3 linked regions of the Neurospora crassa OR74A genome follow. The protein of the gene in region 2 interacts with the protein of the main gene of each other region in a biochemical or structural test. Links are inferred from orthologs where the notes say so. Each region holds a gene or a part of one and is shown on either strand. Other genes may lie near its edges.

Region 1 (6,237 bases), about 4.0 Mb from region 2:
AGCAGTAGCGCTTTAAGCCTGGCCTCTGCAGGATCAGCGGCCTCGAACGCTTCTTCGAGCTGCGGCCAGGAGTTTGTGCGGTCTACGACGAGCGGAACGCTGAAGAGGTTTAGGTGGGGCTCGGTTGGAAGGAGTGTCGTTGCTTGAACGATGCAACGCGTTACGACTTTGACGAGCGACATGTCTGTTTATCGATCGGCTTCAAAGATGAAAGAACAAAAAAGGAGGGAGAACGGAACTCCTGGTCAGCCAGCCAACATGCTCTTGTACAACACGAGCTTTATGAAGAATATCCACTAAAGCACTAACGATAACGGCAACTGGCTGCTACCAACTACGGCTACGGCTGCAGCGGGAATCAACTCTCGTCATTTATCATACCGATGGTGCTGGGCCAAATAGGTCTTTCACGGAAAGAATCCAAGTCGATGGACGACGACGTTGGAAGGAAATATTCCCCAACAAATGCTGCAAAGAGAGGAGAGAACGATTGTATGCAGAACATTTACCTTCAATATCTGGCATCATGGGGACAGCCATACGCATACACGCATCATTAACCTTCTTAATCTGCTATTTTTTTCATATTTTCTTCATATTTTCTTCCCATCTTGGTTGTCTTTTTCATTCGGGACTCGGATTTGATCTTGTTATTTTGGTTACCCGATTTGGTCGCAGGTCTAGGTTCTTTTTTTGTTGGTGTTGCGTGACTTTGGCTTTAGTTTGGGCTTGTTTGTGTATCGACTGTTGAGATGACTTGTAGACGAACCGAGTTCATCGAATTCAACTTTTTGGGGATTTGCTTCGTGACACTTTGGGAGCTATCGCGGTCAACTGTGACCATGTTGAAACACGTGACGAATGATCAAGACTTTTGTGAACGAGCAGTTTTTTGAAGATCCTATCGACATACATACACACAAGTCTACGCCTCAAAATACCACATCACATACATAACGGCAAGTCACATCATTGGAACAACACAGTTACTGAACAATACTTCTTTCTTGCTACTTCTAGTCCGTTGGGACTTGGGTATATGAAACAGGGGAAGAGTATCAGATTACTTACCGGGTAATGTTCGTTAAGAAGGATCACCCGTGTTCTGTACCGTTACGCCATCGATGATGTATCGTGAAGGGCAAATGCTGATATGAAAAAAAAAGAAAAAGAAAAGACCCGAAACCCATTTTAAGTGCCCCCAGGTGACCCCGTGATTGTACCGGAAAATCCCAAACCAACTTTTAGATGCCCTCTTTAGTAACCCCACAGGAAGAAGCAATGACAATAGTATGCGGAAAAGAACAGGAAACGATGAACCACCCTCGAAGCACAGACTGGATAAGGCTGTGTGAACACATGTTTGTGGCATGTGCAAGTACAGGTCCTCGCTTTTCCGTTCTTCCGTTTTGTCAGCTAAAGCCCACAAGAGCCCACGAGCCCACAGAGTACTTGGAACCCATCATTCTTCTGGTATGCATCGAATCCAAAGTGCAGACGACCGCGCAAGGGTCATGGAACCAGCCAACAAGCCCACCGGCAGAGGTCCTAACTTTCCTGTTGAGAAAGAACAGACGTGCCATGTACGAACGAGCTGTCAAAGAGCTACCAGCTCACCACCATCTTCAAGCCCTCAGGTATCGCTTGCTTTCCCTGCCACGCAGCAGGGAAGCAGTTATCTCTCAAAAAGCCCACGATCTCCCACGAAGGAGACACTGTAAGATTTCAAAAGCCGACAACCCACTAAGCCCTCCAGTGCGAATCTGTGTTTCAATGCCCTCAGGTTATGGTATCACATTCCCCAATGTGTGCGGGAATCCCACTTGACCACTTTAGAAGGTGGTCTTCTTGCCCTGGAAGCCACCACGGCTGCCACCGAAACCACCCCGTCCGCCACCGCGGCCACCGCCACGGCCACCGAAGTCACCACGGCCACCACGGCCACCACCACGGCCACCGAAACCACCACGGCCACCGCCACGGCCACCACCGCGGCCGCCGCCGAAGCCACCACCGCCACCGTTGTTGTCACGGGGCTTGGCGTAGTCGAGACGGACGGGACGGCCATTGAGGTCGGAGCCGTTCAGTTGCTCGAAAGCGTTCTTGGCATCCTCAACGGAGTTGAAGGTAACATAGGCGAAGCCCTTGGGGCGGCCGGACTCCCTAGAAGACTGTTAAAACTCTGCTCGGCAAAGATGCACACAAAGGTATAGTGGGATACTCACTGGTCAGTAGGGATACGGAGGCTGGCAACGGAAGCGACGGAGTTGAAGAAGTCGGAGACGACAGACTCGTCGGCGGAGAAGGGCATGTTACCGACGAAGAGGGTGTCGGACTCGGGAGAGATGGTGTCACCGTGCTTGGCAGCGCGGTTGGCGGCCTTGTCTTGGGGCTTGTTGCCGGCATCCTTGGCAGCGAAGTCGAGACGCATCTCACGGCCCTCAAGAAGAGCACCGCTCTTGGCATCATAAGCCTTCTGCGCCTGCTCGTTGGTGGCAAAGTCGACGTAGCCGAAACCGCGCGAGCGGCCAGACTCACGGTCAGTGACGACGCGAGCGCTCTTAGCACCCTCGCAGTCCTCGAACTCAGCCAAGAGGATAGCATCATCGATACCCCAGCCGAGGTTACCAACCCAGAGGGTGCTCTTGTCGTCGGCAACCTCCTCAGTCTTGGCCTTCTTGGGAGCCTCCTCCTCCTCGGAGGACTCCTCAGCCTTGCGCTTCTTGGAAGGCTCCTCGGACTCAGACTTCTCCTCGGACTCGGAAGAGTCAGAGTCAGAGTCGGAATCGGAGTTGTCGGAGTCGCTCTCCTCATCATCGGACTATAAGCAGACGTGGGTTAGCAGATGTATACTATGAAGAGGAAGTTATGTTGTACTCACGCTCTCCTTCTTCTCCTCCTTGACGGCGGGCTTCTCCTCCTCGGAAGTCTCCTCAGACTCGGAGTCGTCAGAGTCAGAATCGGAGTCAGAGTCGGAAGACTCGGCCTTCTTGGTCTCCTTGGCGGCAGGAGCGTCGGTCATCTCCTCATCGGAAGACTCATCGCTGGACTCATCCTCGCTGGACTCCTCCTCAGAAGACTCAGACTCGGACTCCTCCTCCTCGGAAGAGGACTCCTCCTTCTTGGACTTCTTGGAGGGCTTCTCAGCCTTGGTGGCCTTGACGGGCTTAGCAGCCTTGACGGGCTCGGCCTTGGCGACCTTGGTGGCCTTGGTGGCCTTGACGGAATCCTTCTTGCCCATGATAGCGGTTGTTGTAAAGTGATGTGATGAAGTGATGGAATCCGCTAAAGGGTATTGAAGAAAAAAGAAGGATGAAGATGATGAATGGGATAAAGGATGCGTCTGAAGAAAAGAAATTTCGTCGGGAAGACTGCTGTTTAAATGGGGAGCAGAGGGTGGCGGGTACCGTAAAATCTCTGGCTGATCAACCTACGGCAGAAAAAAAAATCGTTATCACACTTTGATATGGGACTTTCTAGTGGGGCAGGGGACCTGGGGCAGTGGAGGATCCGGGTGGAGGTTATGTACACACGCGAAGGCGGTGGCCCGCGCACGAGCCGCGGTGGGGAAGTTCGTTCCACCTGAAAGTTCCTTCCCATGCCTGCCACGGCCCACGACCCCCCGTCAATTGCAACTTTACTGCATGGTCCGAAAGACGAACAGCATTTGGGCTAGCGCGTCCCTGCCTGCCTGGTTTCCCAGGTGTGCTGTAAAGCTCGAGCCACCATACGACCGGGGCACCACTTGGAGCTTAGAGATGCGCCGTGTTGGTTGCAACGGCATCATCGACGAGACGAAAGTGCGGGACGATAAGCTGCGTCTCTCTCCCTCTCTACAGCTTTGTTTGACGACAACTTGTGCTTTCGGTCTTCTCTCGCGAGTCGCCCACATCTAGCAGCAATGCCTACTCCCGAATCGGCGGCCTTCCTGGCCAAGAAGCCCACCGTCCCGCCCACCTTTGACGGCGTCGACTACAATGATACGAAGCGCCTGAAGCAGGCCCAGGATGCCATTATCCGCGAGCAATGGGTCCGAGTTATGATGGGTCGCCTGGTGCGGGAGGAGTTGTCCAAGTGCTATTATAGGGAGGGCGTGAACCATCTGGAGAAGTGCGGACATCTGAGAGGTGGGTACAGGAGTGCTTCCCATCTCCCGTGGTTCTTTGGCGGCAGAACCATTCAGCAATTGCATGCAATCAGCCATGCGATGGTGCTTTTTCCCCTTCTCTTGCTGACTTGTTTCTGACACAGAACGCTACCTCCAACTACTCTCCGAAAACCGTGTCCAGGGTTATCTTTTCGAGCAGCAGAACCATTTCGCGAACCAGCCAAAGCAATGAGTTCTCCTCCATCATTCTGGGAGCAGACCGGAGGGTACAAGCTGGAGCGAGCTGATTTGGGGCTGAAATGATCTGGGCAGCGAGAGTTTTGGCAGGGCAGTGCGCTCGAGAACCGGAGAGCGAGTCAGTCATGGTCGAACCGGGAAGGGGCTCCATAACATCGCGGACCACCCTTTCAGACGTTCGGCTTCAGCAACCCCCAGAGGAGTGCTCGGGCCCTTTAATGAGACTTACGAGCAGGCATGTAAATATTAACAGAACTCGGCAACAACAGACACACGGGGGACTAGAGGAATAACAGGACTCAATTCGGCCTCCCATTTTTTTTATTTTTTTCATTTATTCTTCTGCACGTATGTTGTCTGTACAGTTCGCAGATTTGGACTATAGAATACATAAAGTGCTTTAGTTGTCACTGCCCTAGTAACAGCTGCAACGGTTCCTGTCCAATATCAAAACTGCTCCAGTGGTGCTTTTCACCCGCCGTAGAAATTTTTAGCTCCCGTCCCACCCCTCCAATTCGTCGCGCGCATCCCGTGTCCGTCTCCCCAGGCCGAAAGCCACTTCCGGCCGGCGTGTCTTTTTACATTCGCACCTGTGAAGCTGATTTAAGCGAGTTGTCTATCCAATCGATCCGATCCTTGGTGTAATTCCCACTGGCCGACTGCCGACGATTACACACATACACCTCCGACCATCCCCCGGGATAATCGCCATGATCTGCCGAACGTGTTTGCGCCGGGCTTCCGGCTTCGCCAGACCTGCCGCCGCCGCGGCCACCAGGCCCATGGTTGCCGCTAGTTCGCGCGCCGCCTTCAGTACCACTTTCAGCGTGTGCACTCCTCCCGCAGCGACCCCCGCCGCCGCCGCACCAGCAACTTCCACAGCCGAGGCCGGCCTCGCACCAGTACCAGGCGCCGCGACGACAGAACAAGCCAAGGCGGCCATCTCGTCTTGCCCGGCGGGCACCAAGCTTAACGGTCTCAACTACTTCAAGAACAAGGCGGATCCCGTGGCACTGCCAGACGAGGAGTACCCAGAGTGGCTCTGGAGGTGCTTGGAGGTGCAGAAGAAGACGGACGATGCTGCTGATGCGGACGCTGGTGATGAGTTCTGTATGTTGCCAACCTACCTACCTACCTACCTACCTCCCCACCTTCCTTTTCCATCCCCCCTTCCCAAAAAAAAGCAATCCAGACTAACACACTCTCCTTTCTTCCAAAAGCCAAATCCAAGAAACAGCGTCGCCTAGCCATGAAGCGCGCGCGCGCCCAAGAGGCCAAGATCCTGGCTTCCGGCGACCTCGAGGCCCTGGCACCCAAGATCCCGCTACAGAAGCAGTCGGTCAACCTCCCCGGAGCTGTGAACGGCGGCGTGCAGGATGCCGTGCTGGCGGACGAGAAGCGGGAGGAGCTGCGCAAGGCGATGCGCAAGGAGCGCAAGGCCAAGATTAAGGAGAGTAACTACCTCAAGGCTATGTAAGCATGAGGGGTGGTGGTGGTTCGAGAGGCAGAGGCCCGAGGGAGGACGAGGACGAAACATGGGAGGAGATGGGTGGGAAGGAAGAAAAAGAAGAGGGGGAGCACGTGAAGGGAGAGAAGGAGGGACGGCTAGAGCAGCAGCAGCAGCAGCAGCAGCAGCAGCAGCCGAGTTGATGTGGTGGGCTCGTATGTGTACTAACATCCAACCGTCCAAGAACGACTTCATGGTATGGCTACCTACGGGCACGAAAGCGGACATGGACATGGGGGAATTGTCCTGAATGTAAGAAAACTATATACGGCTTCAGGAGGGTGAAGGGCCTGAGAGCCCTGGAGTGGACAGCCAGAGAGCCATTTGCTATGGTTAGATCCAAAAACGATTCTGTACAAATACATGTGATTCAGTTAGTAACCAT
Region 2 (6,504 bases):
GCAATCAAATGGTCATCGGTCATTTATGTTTCTCTGGTTTCTCCGGATCCATCTGTCTCGGTTCTGCTTTCTCACATTGCCAGCCATCACATGTCATTATTATAGAGTGATGGGTATGACGGTTTTGGTCTTGAGCTAGGTTCCTTTCAGAGTCACCCAGACACAACGGCCGCGCAGCACGCACAGTACATATACCATCACGAGCAATATTACTGCCGTTACGTTTCAACCTTCTTTGTCCTTCATCATCCTCCAATATCCGGTCCTGAATACAAACATGTCTTGGGTTTGTCGACAGATGCTGACCCAACCAGAAATGCCCGCCTGAGAGGCACGGCAAACAAAACCACGTCAAACAAAACCCCCCCAATCACCCGCCACCGACGATGTTCACCATCATCATATGCCCTCACCCAGCAACAACTCCATCTCCAGCCAGAGCTCAGCCAACCTGTCCTCCAAGCTACCGCCACTTCCTGCCTCACCCTCACTATCTCAGTCAATCGGTATGATGGGCACTGGTGAAGAGGCCCTCAACGCCTATCATCTTCCCAGGCCACTGCCACTGTGGCTGAACCCGACGGCCGCGAAGCACATCGTCAAGGGCAACTTTATGACACTCAGCGCTAGGCCCAAGACGGTGGAGCAGGGCGAGTGGATTGCTCATCAAGGTAATTCATGATCCTTGTCTGTGACTGTTACACGTTATCGTGTCCACTGACATCATCATGTAGTGGTTGAGCATTACCGCAACTTGTGGAACTTTGTCAGAGTTGTATACGAAAAGGAAGAGGATGGAAAGTCGATTTGCAACTCCATTACCTGCCCCAGGATGTCCGCTGGAACGTAAGAACGGAAACCCCCAATGCCCATGTCGAAGCACCTCAAGGATCTGTTTTAACAGAAATGGGCACAGGAACCACTCGTACACGTGGCTAAACAGCCGCTTTGAGCCCATTGAGCTCCCAGCATATGAGTACATTACTCTGATGCAGCGGTGGATTTCGGGCAAGATTGACGATACCAAGATGTTCCCCACCGAGGCGTCGGGGGTTTCGTTTGCGCATAACCCTCAGATTACCACAACGGCACTTTTGACGGGTCCTGACGACTGGATCGGCAAGCGCAGCGGATTCCCCAAGGAGTTTTTCAACATTTGCCAGACCATCTTCCTCCAGATGTTCCGCGTCTACGCTCACCTTTACTGGGCCCACTTTACGGAGCCCTTCTACCATTTGAACTTGGAGAAGCAACTCAACAGCTGTTTCAGCCATTTTGTGCTGACAGCGACCGCCCTCGATATGCTCAAGCCGGCCGAGCTTGAGCCAATGCAGCCTTTGATTGATCTCTGGGCCGCCAATGGTACCTTTCCACCGGAATCGAAGGCTTATGAGTACGCCAACTTGAAGGTTGGCACTCGCCTGATGCAGATGGCAGGCCTGGCTTAATTACAGGAGCATGAAGAAAACAAGGGGATGTTATGGGGAAAAACAGAGCATATCATGATGAGGCTTGTCAACATGTGGAGTATCCTGATCTATCTCGGTTATGTTGGGTTACTCTAGAGGATAGATAATGGCCATGTGTACATTGAACGGGAGTTAGATGTGGCAGGCCAGAAAAGCGATGGATGAGGAGACTAATACCAAGACGAAAAGTATCACTATATATATCTGGGCGTTTGCTGAAGGAAAATGGCTTGTCCTTACTGGGATGCTGACTCGAGAGGGCAAGGGGCAGTTAGATCTCTTAGTCGCTTGAGTGTTCGAAAGAAGGTTGAGAAGTGATGGCTCATTTATCATGGATCTGAATGGCGTTGAAAGGGAAATGCCAGATCTCTACAATACAACACCCTTCAAGATATCCAAACCCACGTTGGGGTTACACCTGATGTCAGATACATCAATGGGAGCACGGGCTAGACCTAGCGCCAAAGTGGCAAGCACCAGGGGAGGGGGCCAGTGAGGTGGAGTGCTCCAAAAAGGGTCCAAAAGGGCCCATCAGCGGCCCAGACTGCCAAGACCGAGCTAGGCACGCCAGATCCAAAAGGGGACAAGCCTGGAGATGGGACGGCGTCGCGGGGGGCAAGAGATCGGATAATGCGATAAAGCGGTTTCAGTTGTAGTCCCCATGTTCGGGGGGCCCGGCGCGCAGACTGTACTAGTGTACTAGGTACATAGTAGGTTGTGCCAGGCGTGCCTGTCAGTGCCTGCGCGGATGTCGGACAGCCCTGTACCTACGCGTGTAAGTGAGGTGTCGGGCCCGTGTGGGTGACGACTCGGGCGGGTACTCTTGCGGGCAGGCGGGAAAGCCCCCCAGGACCCCACCCCACCCAGGAACTGCCTCCCTCTCCATCTCTGGAGCCCAGCACAACCCAAGTTGAAGTGGGGTATGGATCTGATTTGGCAACCCAATCTCTGACGGGGCCAGGCAAAAAGTTGAGGCAAGGAAAGGCCATGCTGGACCCGTCTGGGCAATTGCCATTGCGGCACACGAAGAAAACTTCACAAGCATCAGGCTCCCCTTCGAACCTGCCTCTCCATCCTCCTTCCCACTTTTTATCTCCATCGCTGAGCTGCCCTGCAAATTTTCCAGCTTTACATTTTCCTCTTCTTTGATTCCTTTTGGTTTCTTTACACCAATTCATCTTTTATTCTTGTCTGTTTTCCCATACACAAACAGCACCAACAGCAGCATCAACAACAGTCAAGATGGCGGCCAACGATCAGATGGACATTGAGGTTGCCGAGCAGAAGCTCAAGAGCATGGATCACGCCGAGCAGCACTACTTCAACAGGTACGAACATGACCGTCTCGTCTCTTCTCGTTGTTGTTATATGGTGGTAGAGACAGATCAAAGCTAACATGACTTCGTTCTCTAGCTATAACCACCATGGTGAGACACCTCCATCCGCTTATCGCGGGGTCCACGGACTGCGCGCTTCCTAGTTGGCCTCGTGGCCGTTCATAGTCTGACTGTTGCTAACCTGGACCTGTTGCGCGACAAAGGCATCCACGAGGAAATGTTGAAGGACGAGGTCAGAACCAAGTCATACATGCACTCTATCGTCCAGAACAAGCATCTCTTTAAGGACAAGATCGTTCTCGATGTCGGTTGCGGTACTGGTATCCTCTCCATGTACGTCCCCACTCCCTGCATCACGCAAACCTGCAGCTCTGGCGGTCCTGGAATGCGCCGAGCACTGCAATCCAAAAACGGTGGAACAGCCTGCTAACCGTCTTCTCTTCTCACAGGTTTGCCGCTAAGGCCGGCGCCAAGCACGTTATTGGTGTTGACATGTCCACCATCATCTTCAAGGCTCGTGAGATTGTCAAGGTCAACGGTCTCTCCGACAAGATCACCCTGATCCAGGGCAAGATGGAGGAGATCGAGCTTCCCTTCCCCAAGGTTGACATCATCATCTCTGAGTGGATGGGTTATTTCCTCCTCTACGAGTCCATGTTGGACACTGTCCTCTACGCCCGTGACCGTTACCTGGCTCCCGGCGGTCTTATCTTCCCCGACAAGGCTACCATCTTCATTGCTGGTATCGAGGACGGTGACTACAAGGATGAGAAGATTGGCTGTATGTTTCCTGCCCCTGGTTTTTTTGCTTTCGATTTTGTGAAGAACTTCCTACTGACACCGGTTTACCAGTCTGGGACAACGTCTACGGATTCGATTACAGCCCTCTTAAGGAGACTGCTCTCTCCGAGCCTCTTGTCGACACTGTTGACGTTAAGACCGTCGTCACTGACCCCGTCAACATCTTGACTCTCGACCTTTACACTTGCACCACTGCCGACCTGGCTTTCAAGACCAACTTCGAGCTCGTCGCCAGACGCGATGACTTCATCCACGCCCTTGTCGCCTGGTTCGACATTGACTTCACTGCCTGCCACAAGCCCATCCGCTTCTCGACCGGTCCCCACACCCAGTACACCCACTGGAAGCAGACCGTCTTCTACCTCAAGGACGTCCTCACCGTCCAGCAGGGCGAGAAGGTTCAGTGCTCGCTCCACAACCGCCCCAACCAGAAGAACAAGCGTGATCTTGATATCACCGTCGATTACAAGTTCGAGAACCAAGACCCCACGAGGCAGGCTGAGGGCAGGTGCTTGTACAAGATGTGCTAGTATTTTATTTGATTGCAGATCTGCCGGACAAAAGTGTCGAATCGACGAGTCAAATGGACGATGCGAGCTGAAAAGCCGCCCCTTGTCCATGAGATGGTCGAAGAGATGTGGTTGAGCTCACAGTATTCACGAACGAAGCTTTTGGGGGTATTGGGAATTGCACGGCGTCTTAAAAGAGAAGGGGTTGCTTTTTAACCTGGGTTTTGTGTTTTTCATATATTTTGCTTTTTACGAACTCACTAGCGGGACCAGGGGTTTTCTTAGATATCCAGCAGCGGAAAGGAAGCGCGCGCGGAAGAAAGAAGAGACATACATATAAGGGAACTCTCTTACTCTGTAATACACAGAGAAAACATGAGTCAATGCTTGATTAAAGCACGAAATCACAACGCGATACGTTCGGCCCGCAGGGTTGGGTGCGTGATTGCAAAAGCATCCGGAAGATAACATCAACGGAATGCTCATAACTGATCACAATGAGATATCATGAGATAGTGATGCTGAATACTTGATGCGATACCCAACGGAGAAAGAGTTGAGTACGAGTTGTATAGTTTGTTAATTTGTTGAAAATGGAGAAATCTCGACCTATACCACAACAAGGCATGATTTTCTGATGTTCCCGTCAGACGAAGTTGAATTGAACACCCGCACTTTAATCAACCGACCAAAGTCGAAATGAACTTTGCTGAGGTTGGTGGTAGTAAGCGCCAATCAAACAACGCATAGCCGGACGTTGAATCATCTTTGTTCGAGCTTGGTGGTTACTAAACCACCAATTCAGGCGTTCAGCGACGGAGAAAATTAAGCAAATCAAAAACACGCTGTAGCTTCATTTGGCCCCCCCATCTTCCACTACTATCTCCGACCCCCCAACCCGCCATAACTATTACTATCATCTTCTCGCCGAAAACACCACGCTCAACGTTATCGAACGGCTAAGTGAGTTATGAAGCACGACTCGCACTGCCACCATCGTAGGGCGGAGGTGTTTACAAAGTTGTGTTGTGAAATCGTAATTGGTAGTGTTTTTGAGGGAGAGGCCTTGTTGTTCGTTATTATCTGTATATAGACTAGTACCCGCTACCTAGAATAGATGATACAGCCTAGGTAGTCTAATATGTCAATCGGCTATATATCGTTTATTCTTTAAAAAAGAAGAGATAATGGAGGCTACTAATCTAGGTAGGTAGGTAGGCAAATTACTGTGATTACCCTACATACCTAGTCCGAGGTTAGGTACATTAGTACGGTTTTTGCCAATGAAGTTTTTTGATTGATGCTTTCTGCTTAGTAGGTACCTTTTGTTTGTTTGCCAGGCGGGGATGAATTATAATAGGTACCTCCAAGGTGGTGGTAACTACCTACCTAGGTAGGTAGGTATCGATGTTGTCCTGCACTGCACTGTACTGCACGAGCGAAGCTAAGCTAAGCTAAGCTAAGCTAAGCTAAGCTCACTCACTTCTGCAGCAGTTGCGTACGTACCTACATACCTAGACGGAGGTAAGTAAACAAGCAAGCAGGTTCGGAGGTTCCGAGGTTACTAGGTACGGTTGCTGTTTGACTTTAAGTAAGTAAGTAAGTGAGTAAGTAAGTAAGTAAGTAAGTAAGTAAGTAAGTAACTAACTAACTAACTAACTAACTAGTCTAGCAAGAAGCAAGAAGCAAGAAAATAGTACAGCAAAAGTAGTGGGTATATCTGGAGGGTGATGGTCGACAGAAGAAAAAAAAATGCAAAAGAAGAGGAGGAGGAGGAAAAAAAAGAAAGAAAAGAAAGAAGACCCTAAGGTTGCAAGAACTTTTGAAATTTGAAATCTAGAAAAATCATCCCATCCCGTCGTCGTCGTACCTTTCTGTGCTATATGAAGAAAAAAAAAAAAAAAAAAAAAAAAAGAGAAAAGAGAAAGAAATGGAATCCCACGGGCCGACCAAAAGATCTGCTTCAGATCCTGTATATATCCATATAACGACGCCATACCACGCCATGCTATCAACACCAACTTTTTGCCTTTTCCCTTGATGCTTTCTTTTCCTTTTTTTTCTTTTCTTGTATATGGTTTCCCCCAAACCAGTCCAGTCCAAGGCATAATACCAACAAACCAACCACCCAACACAACCCAACACCAATATAACAAAGCAACATCATGAAAGCAAAGAACTATAGCCCATCAAACCCACCTTTAACCTCCCCATCAAAAAAGAAGCCTACCGACCTCCCCCACGACCCCGAGCAGGTCCCCGTCCATACCGATACGGATCCCTTGGATCAAAGTGCTTGCCCATGAACATGGGTTGAAACGGGGGTTCCGACCTCGCCAGGCCATCCCACTCGGGTTCGCGCTCGGGAACGACGTCTACAGGAGGCGT
Region 3 (6,257 bases), on a different chromosome or scaffold from region 2:
CGCGCGCTTTATCATCGCCCATTCTACGCAAAAGCCTTTTAACCCCGAGCATAAGGATGGAAGCCCCTGGATCCACCTCTTCCACCACCGCGATAGTTTGCACCAGGTTTGCCAGCGTTCTTGGGACCCGTAGGGGCGTTAGGAGGAGGTGCGCTGGCCGGGTCGACCGGTCCGCCGGGCGAATGCGAGCCTTGATGGCCGCCCTGCTGATGACCACCGCCGCTGCCGTGGTGATGGCCGCGACCCTTATGGAAACCGCCACGTCCTCCACCACCACCGCCACCGCCCATGCCGCCGCCCATACCCATACCCATGCCGCCCATGCCAGGACCGAAACCGGGACCGCCCATCATCGGTTGGGGGACGTCATCGTACATGCCCTCCCAGCTGGTGGCGCCCATGTTGTAGCCCGCTCCAGCACCGGGCATTCCACCGCCGTAGTTGCCACCAGCGGGATCGTTGCGAGGACCGCGATTACCGCCGCCGGGGCCGCGCTGCTGGCCATCGAAACCCTGCTGTCCGTCGAAGCCGCCGAATCCCCCCTTAGGACCACCGGCACCTCCATCAGCACCACCGGCTCCGGGACCGCCAGCGCCGCCCATCATTTGCTGCATCATCGCCGGGTTCATGCCCATGGCGGCAGCCATCGCCTGGGGGTTCTGCGCGTTAGGCCCCTGACCCGCGCCGACACTACCAGCGCGGCCACCGCTGCCTTGCTGTCCTGCACCCGCCTGAGCCGCGGCATGGGCTTGCTGAGCGGCCATCATCTGTTGTTGCATTTGTTGCATCTGCTGCATCTGCATCATTTGGACCATGGGGTTCTGCATGCCCCTGTTCATGGCCATCTGTTGCTGCATCATCTGGAAGGCCTGCTGCATCCGCTGGAGATACTGGGCCATGAGTTGGGGGGTCATACCGGCAGTGCCGGCGCCGCCCATGCCGCCCATGACATTCATACCGCCTTGACCGGAGCCATCATCCATGCCACCACCTTGCTGACCGCTGCGGCGCTGGCCGAACTTGCCGCCGCCGCGTCTCGCAGCTTCCTCAGCCTCCTCGCGCAGGTTGCCGCGGGGTTGGGCTTTCTTGACTTCGATAGGCTTACCATGGATCTCAAGGTTGGCAGAGAGACACGCCTCGACGCCAGCTTCGGACTCAAAGGTGACGAAGCCGAAACCACGGGGACGGCCAGTGTCCTTATCCATCATGAGGGTGGCATCGACGACACGGCCGAATTGGGCAAAGTACTCGCGGAACTCGTGGTCCGTGGTCTCCTGAGAAACGCCACCAACAAAGATCTTGGAAGTCTTCTCTTGCTCATCGCGGGGAATGGCGCGCTTCGGGTCGATCTATAAGGAGAATGAGTTAGTGGCCACTTATTTGACGGGTTAGACGAGCTATGGCGGGCAAACGTACGATCTTGCCGTCAAGGTAGTGTTCCTTGACCATAACAATGTTCACTGTTTTTGGGTCCTTGAAGGTAAGAAATCCGAAGCCACGCGAGCGACCGGTGGCGCCATCTCTCATAACGGTGCATTCTACAACCTCGCCGAACTGCGAGAAGTAATCTCTCAGGGATTCTAAAAAGTCACAAGACCGGTATCAGTACAACTGTCACGAATACCATATGGTACATATGGTGCCCCTTGAGGGCAACAATTACCATGAGGAGAGGACAGGGAAAATGGCAAGGCTTACGGTCTGTAGTCTCCCAGTTCAGGCCACCAATGAACATCTTCCTATAAGACACAAGCGCACGCGCAAGACGTTAGTCAACATCATCTTTTGAGCAATCTATGATACCTGGACATGAACAAGTAAGCGTAACATGAGGGCAGTGAAGAATGTGTGGGCTCGATGAGATGAAATGCGGATGTGAGAAAGACATTGCGAGTGATCAAGCAAACAGCCCCAGCCGCCTAGCCCTTTAGACACCCAAATCCTGAGCGAATCCGCATATGGCTACACGCGAACCCAAGAGCTACCAATCAGTGTGATGCGGAAGCATGTTTGTAGCCGTTGTTTGGAGAGGCGCGTGCATATAGCGTGAACTGGGGAAGCAAGCCCATTTGCCCAGCCGTTGCGCCAGGACTTGAGCAGCCTCAGGTAATGTCTATCCCAGACCTCTAGTTCGACCACATGGACCGTCTACCGTCATGATCCTTGACATAGCATGGGCTCCACCATCAATATCCGAAGAACTACCCTTCATCTTGTTTATACTGGGCCTGGTGTTTTGACTGTGGGTGTGGCAATGGATGTGATTCTCCCGTTGGCTTCGCAGGTTGGCGGAGCCCACCGACCGAGGACCGTATGATGGTTGTCATTTGGCGAATGAGAAGTTGGAAGCCGCCTCCGCGATGTTCTCAAGGGTGACGAGACGACTGCTGTCCTAATGTGCCGAATGCTGACTTGACTTGACGGAAATGGGCCAGGGTGGGGGGATGCTACGGCAGTTCCCAGAGTGAACAGAAGATGCAGCAGCGCAGCAATGTTCCACTTTCCAAGTGGTCTCTGGGTGTGCCGGAATCTTTCTTCGAATTTTTTTGCTGTCTCGAGCTCTTTGCTACCGTCAAGCTAGGTACTGTCTGTATCTGTTCTGGGTGCTGCCCTTCTCGCTGCTAATCTTGCTCTGGCTGCAGGCTCATCGACCGTCCTGGCAAAAGGAAGCCGGTTCCCTCACGCCCTATTAAGATTACCTCCGCAAGGCCATCCACCATTCTTGTAGTACAGACAGGAGCGTACTCCGGGATCAATCTGACGTCGAAGCTTGATCCATGGCGTGACCCTGGACAAGTCCACGGCTTCCAGCCTCTTTTCTCCCGATTTTTATGTTCACGTCCATAGCGGAGAGCGATCCCTTCCTGCCTTTGATCACTTGCAGTCTTGTAGCCCCTGGTGCATCCATACGGTATGGTTCACCCATACGCGCCAGAGTAACTCAGAGTGTCTGATACCAAGACTCTACTGTGCTCATCAGGTCCTTGCGCCGCCCAATCCTTCCATTCCCTACCAGCCAACCGAGCAGTTCTGGGACGCCACGTCCTGAGCGGGTCTCGAGTAGGTGTTCATCTCTTCATGTGGGAGAGCCTGGGCGGGGCTGCAGCTGCGTCGGGGCGAAATCGAGGATACAGAGAGGGGTTGTACGGGGGTTGGGGGATGTTACGAGCATATACGTGTGTCACGAATAGCATCAAGGGGATGTGACTTACCCATCTTCTTTGGCATTGGGGCCCTTGTGTTGGGCCTGGGTCGGTGGGGGAGCATGATATTGCGATTGAGACTGGCTGTTGTTGTTGTTGTTGTTGTTGTTTTGGTTGTTGTTTTGGTTGTTGTTGTCGTCCTCATGGCGAGCGACCGTGGTGGACGGGCCGCTTCCGAGATTGAAGTCGATATCGTCTTCGTCTTCGTCTTCTTCCTCATCGTTGCCGTATTGTCCGTTGCCTCCATTGTAGTAGCCTTGCTGACTGTAGTCGTTGGATCCTCCGTAGTTGTCAGCAGCCGACTGCTGGACGGCGGCAGCTTGTTGCTGCTGCTCTTGCTGTTGCTGCTGTTGCTGCTGTTGTTGAGAAGGCTGCTCAGTAGCTGAAGTCTGAGCTGTAGTGGGGGCGGAAGCTGGTGCAGCGGCTGGCTTTGAGGCAGCGGGAGCGTCGTCGTCGTTGTACCTAGTTCGCAAGAGTGTCAGATCATGTTCAGATTGGGTGGTTACGCGAGTACTCAAAATAACATACAGGTCGTCGAAGAGGTCATCCTCGTAATTCTCTGCTTCGGCCATTTTGGCGGTTGTTGTGTGTTTGAATACCGGGTATCGAAGATGGAAAAGAGATGAGAGTTGAGGTTGATTCAGACTGGTATTTGTGTGGAACGCTGAGATGGCGTAGGGCGGGGAAGGATTGCTGGAAGTAGACCAGGCCGAACAAGGTCAGAAAGAATACACAACTTAAGATGGTCTAGTCGTCGAGAAGCAGCGAGACGCGAATGGATCGTAGTGGTCGAGTTGTCTCGTCGCAAGAAGAGATGCGGCGGATGGACCTCGGAGCAGCTCAAGTAGAGCCCGAGGTGGGTGGAAGTCGAGTCCGTCAGGTGCTTGTACAGTTTCCTCCCTCAGATCAAAAGACCCGAATTTGGGCACGGATTGGGTGTACAAGTGAACTAATGAAGTCGTCGGTTGTGGTTGTGATTGCTGCTGTCGAGGATGACTTGACTTGGGTAGAAAAGTGAAGGTGGAAAGTGTGGAAGAGTGGACGTCGTTTGCTTTTCAAGTGAAGAAACCGGACCTGGAACTCCATCAGTCTGCCTGCCTCAGTCCCCTCGCCGCTGCCCTGCAGTCCCATTCAGTTTGGCGCCGAGTGTTAAGGTTCGGTCGGGTGTGGACCCCGATTCAAGGCACCGGCACCGCGAGTTGGGGCGCTTCCGGCAACCAAGACTTGGGGTCGGGTACTAACAAAAAGACGTTACCTACCTTAGGTACTACCTCTACATGACTCCTCTACGGCACTTCCCTTGCCCACCTAGGTGGCAGTCGCGTGTCTAGAGGTAGGTACCTATGGTAGGTCTGCAAGGGCCAATTACCTCTAGGCGCGTAGGCGGTGAGAAACAGCCTATACAACGAGGCCTGTGTACCTGCGGGGAAGGGGGTGCCAGTCCAGCGCACCTTATCACACCCTCTGAGGTGGGCTGCCCATGCGCTGTAGTGGTTCAAGTTGTGAGCGACATCGGCTGCCCGTCTGAGGCTGGCGAACAGCTGGCGAGCTGTGACAGGCGGACGGTGTCCAACTGAAGTCAATCACTGCTGGAACAGGAAGGCAAAGACACCGAGATGAGATGACCTGAATGATGGGCAAGATGCCCTGGACGTGCCCGGTTGCCAAAAGCCATGTGTTTGTTAGTGGCCCCGAGCCTGGCAACCGCTGTGTACCCAGGAAACGAGCCGATGGGCTTAACACGACCACGCCATCAATGAATTGAAGGGAACAGGAACGGCCACTTCCATTGTCTGCCTGTCTAGCTCCATGGACATTCCCTCCGTCCCTTTCAACGAACGACATTGTTGACCATGGTGTGATGCCATTGCGCTGGTAAACCAAGGCGAAATCACCAGTCCTGTTTGTATACTACCCACTCACATAATGTTTTCTTCTTCTTCGAGCTCGGGCAAGAAAGCGTCTCCCCAGGTACGTGTTAGTGCTTCATTTCCTCACTCCAATGATGCTAACAGGCCATGATGTCGCTACGCCAGCAGGAGATGGTGCAAGTTGGTATGTCCTGCCTGATGACTACAACCCCCCCCTCTTTCGTTGTTTGTTGTATAACCAGTTGCTGATCCCATGTCCCGTCATGGCTTCAGACAGGTCCGAGTATGTCCCAAGTCCTATTCCTAAACTCAAAGACGGAAACACTGACATGACTCGGACAATGCGACAGCTCTGGCTCCCCTTTTTGGAGAGCGCCCCAGAAGGATGCCCCGCTAAAGAAGACGACCACTCGCGACTCGGGCAAGGTCGTTGGCGCTGCCTATTCCCATGCCGACATGCTCAAGTTTGATTCATTGTGCGTTGGTGCCGGCGTTACTGTTTGGATGTCTCTCTGGGAAACGACGGCGTCTTTGCTGACTATGGCGCTCTTGGACTAGAAATCTGTCGAACGCCGGATCGCGACCACGAACCCCTCCTCCCTCGTCCTCTGCCCTCGGCCGAACCACTTCCAATAGTACAGCCTCGCCCCATATCAAAGGGGTGACATCACCTCCTTTCCAAAACTACATGAATTTCATAACGAGCACCAACGAAGACTGGGCGGCCGACGACGCAGACGATGTATACGCCTACGAAGACGATGGTGACGATGACTTTGGGCTTCCCAGTCTGTCCAGCATGAAGAGGAGGTCGCGTCGGATCGCAGCGCAGACTGAACAAGGAACCAGCCGAGGAACTGCGACAAACACACTCACAGACGCAACCGGACGTCGCTACTCGGACAGCGCCGACATAGCCATCGAGCGACCAGCATCTACCTACCCAATGCCCAAGAAGACCGAAGGCAAGATCCTCCGACCACAGTACAGAGACATACTCCGCGATCCCGCAAACGCCCTACACCTAATCAACCATCCTTCCGTACCACCTAATGCTTCCCAGAAGGAAATCGATGCTGTCAACTCGAGGATAACCAGGATCAACAAATTCAAAAAGATTCTTCAAGCATCAACCATCCCTCTAAACGACCTTCGAGCCCTAGCTTGGTCTGGCGTACCAGAA

What was found.
Region 1: of the proteins of prm-1 (region 2) and NCU03092, one has a biochemical effect on the other in vitro, tested with the Saccharomyces cerevisiae proteins (2 studies listed by BioGRID). The link is inferred for Neurospora crassa OR74A from reciprocal best matches to the Saccharomyces cerevisiae genes HMT1 and NSR1.
Region 3: of the proteins of prm-1 (region 2) and NCU17030, one has a biochemical effect on the other in vitro, tested with the Saccharomyces cerevisiae proteins (4 studies listed by BioGRID). The link is inferred for Neurospora crassa OR74A from reciprocal best matches to the Saccharomyces cerevisiae genes HMT1 and HRP1.

Annotation. Positions count from the first base shown.
Region 1 is NC_026501.1:4,517,485-4,523,721, forward strand, and holds NCU03092 (nuclear localization sequence binding protein), read right to left. Parts: upstream 3,478-6,237; 5' UTR 3,242-3,477; coding exon 2,882-3,241; intron 2,822-2,881; coding exon 2,226-2,821; intron 2,164-2,225; coding exon 1,833-2,163; 3' UTR 987-1,832; downstream 1-986. Other genes in the region: NCU03091 (hypothetical protein), read left to right, coding at 1-147; nuo12.3 (NADH:ubiquinone oxidoreductase 12.3kD subunit), read left to right, coding at 3,902-4,127, 4,252-4,340; NCU03094 (hypothetical protein), read left to right, coding at 5,056-5,455, 5,566-5,822. UniProt on the Saccharomyces cerevisiae protein: Involved in pre-rRNA processing. Specifically binds nuclear localization sequences. Candidate for a receptor at the nucleus that may be involved in both RNA and protein transport. Binds telomeric sequences of the type (TG[1-3])n in vitro.
Region 2 is NC_026501.1:553,517-560,020, forward strand, and holds prm-1 (protein arginine N-methyltransferase 1), read left to right. Parts: upstream 1-2,447; 5' UTR 2,448-2,711; coding exon 2,712-2,797; intron 2,798-2,882; coding exon 2,883-2,896; intron 2,897-3,009; coding exon 3,010-3,139; intron 3,140-3,255; coding exon 3,256-3,587; intron 3,588-3,658; coding exon 3,659-4,137; 3' UTR 4,138-4,734; downstream 4,735-6,504. Other genes in the region: mob-2b (protein kinase activator), read left to right, coding at 404-671, 735-846, 917-1,448; NCU16316 (hypothetical protein), read right to left, coding at 6,343-6,504. UniProt on the Saccharomyces cerevisiae protein: S-adenosyl-L-methionine-dependent protein-arginine N-methyltransferase that catalyzes both the mono- and asymmetric (type I) dimethylation of the guanidino nitrogens of arginine residues in a variety of RNA-binding proteins such as heterogeneous nuclear ribonucleoproteins (hnRNPs) and small nuclear ribonucleoproteins (snRNPs).
Region 3 is NC_026505.1:5,319,637-5,325,893, forward strand, and holds the start of NCU17030 (heterogeneous nuclear ribonucleoprotein HRP1), read right to left. Parts: upstream 4,391-6,257; 5' UTR 3,776-4,390; coding exon 3,732-3,775; intron 3,666-3,731; coding exon 3,213-3,665; intron 1,740-3,212; coding exon 1,699-1,739; intron 1,581-1,698; coding exon 1,417-1,580; intron 1,350-1,416; coding exon 39-1,349; 3' UTR 1-38. Other genes in the region: NCU04241 (TBC1 domain family member 22A), read left to right, coding at 5,130-5,174, 5,240-5,258, 5,348-5,357, 5,425-5,550, 5,633-6,257. UniProt on the Saccharomyces cerevisiae protein: RNA-binding protein, which is involved in the polyadenylation-dependent pre-mRNA 3'-end formation and cooperates with the cleavage factor CFIA complex and the cleavage and polyadenylation factor (CPF) complex.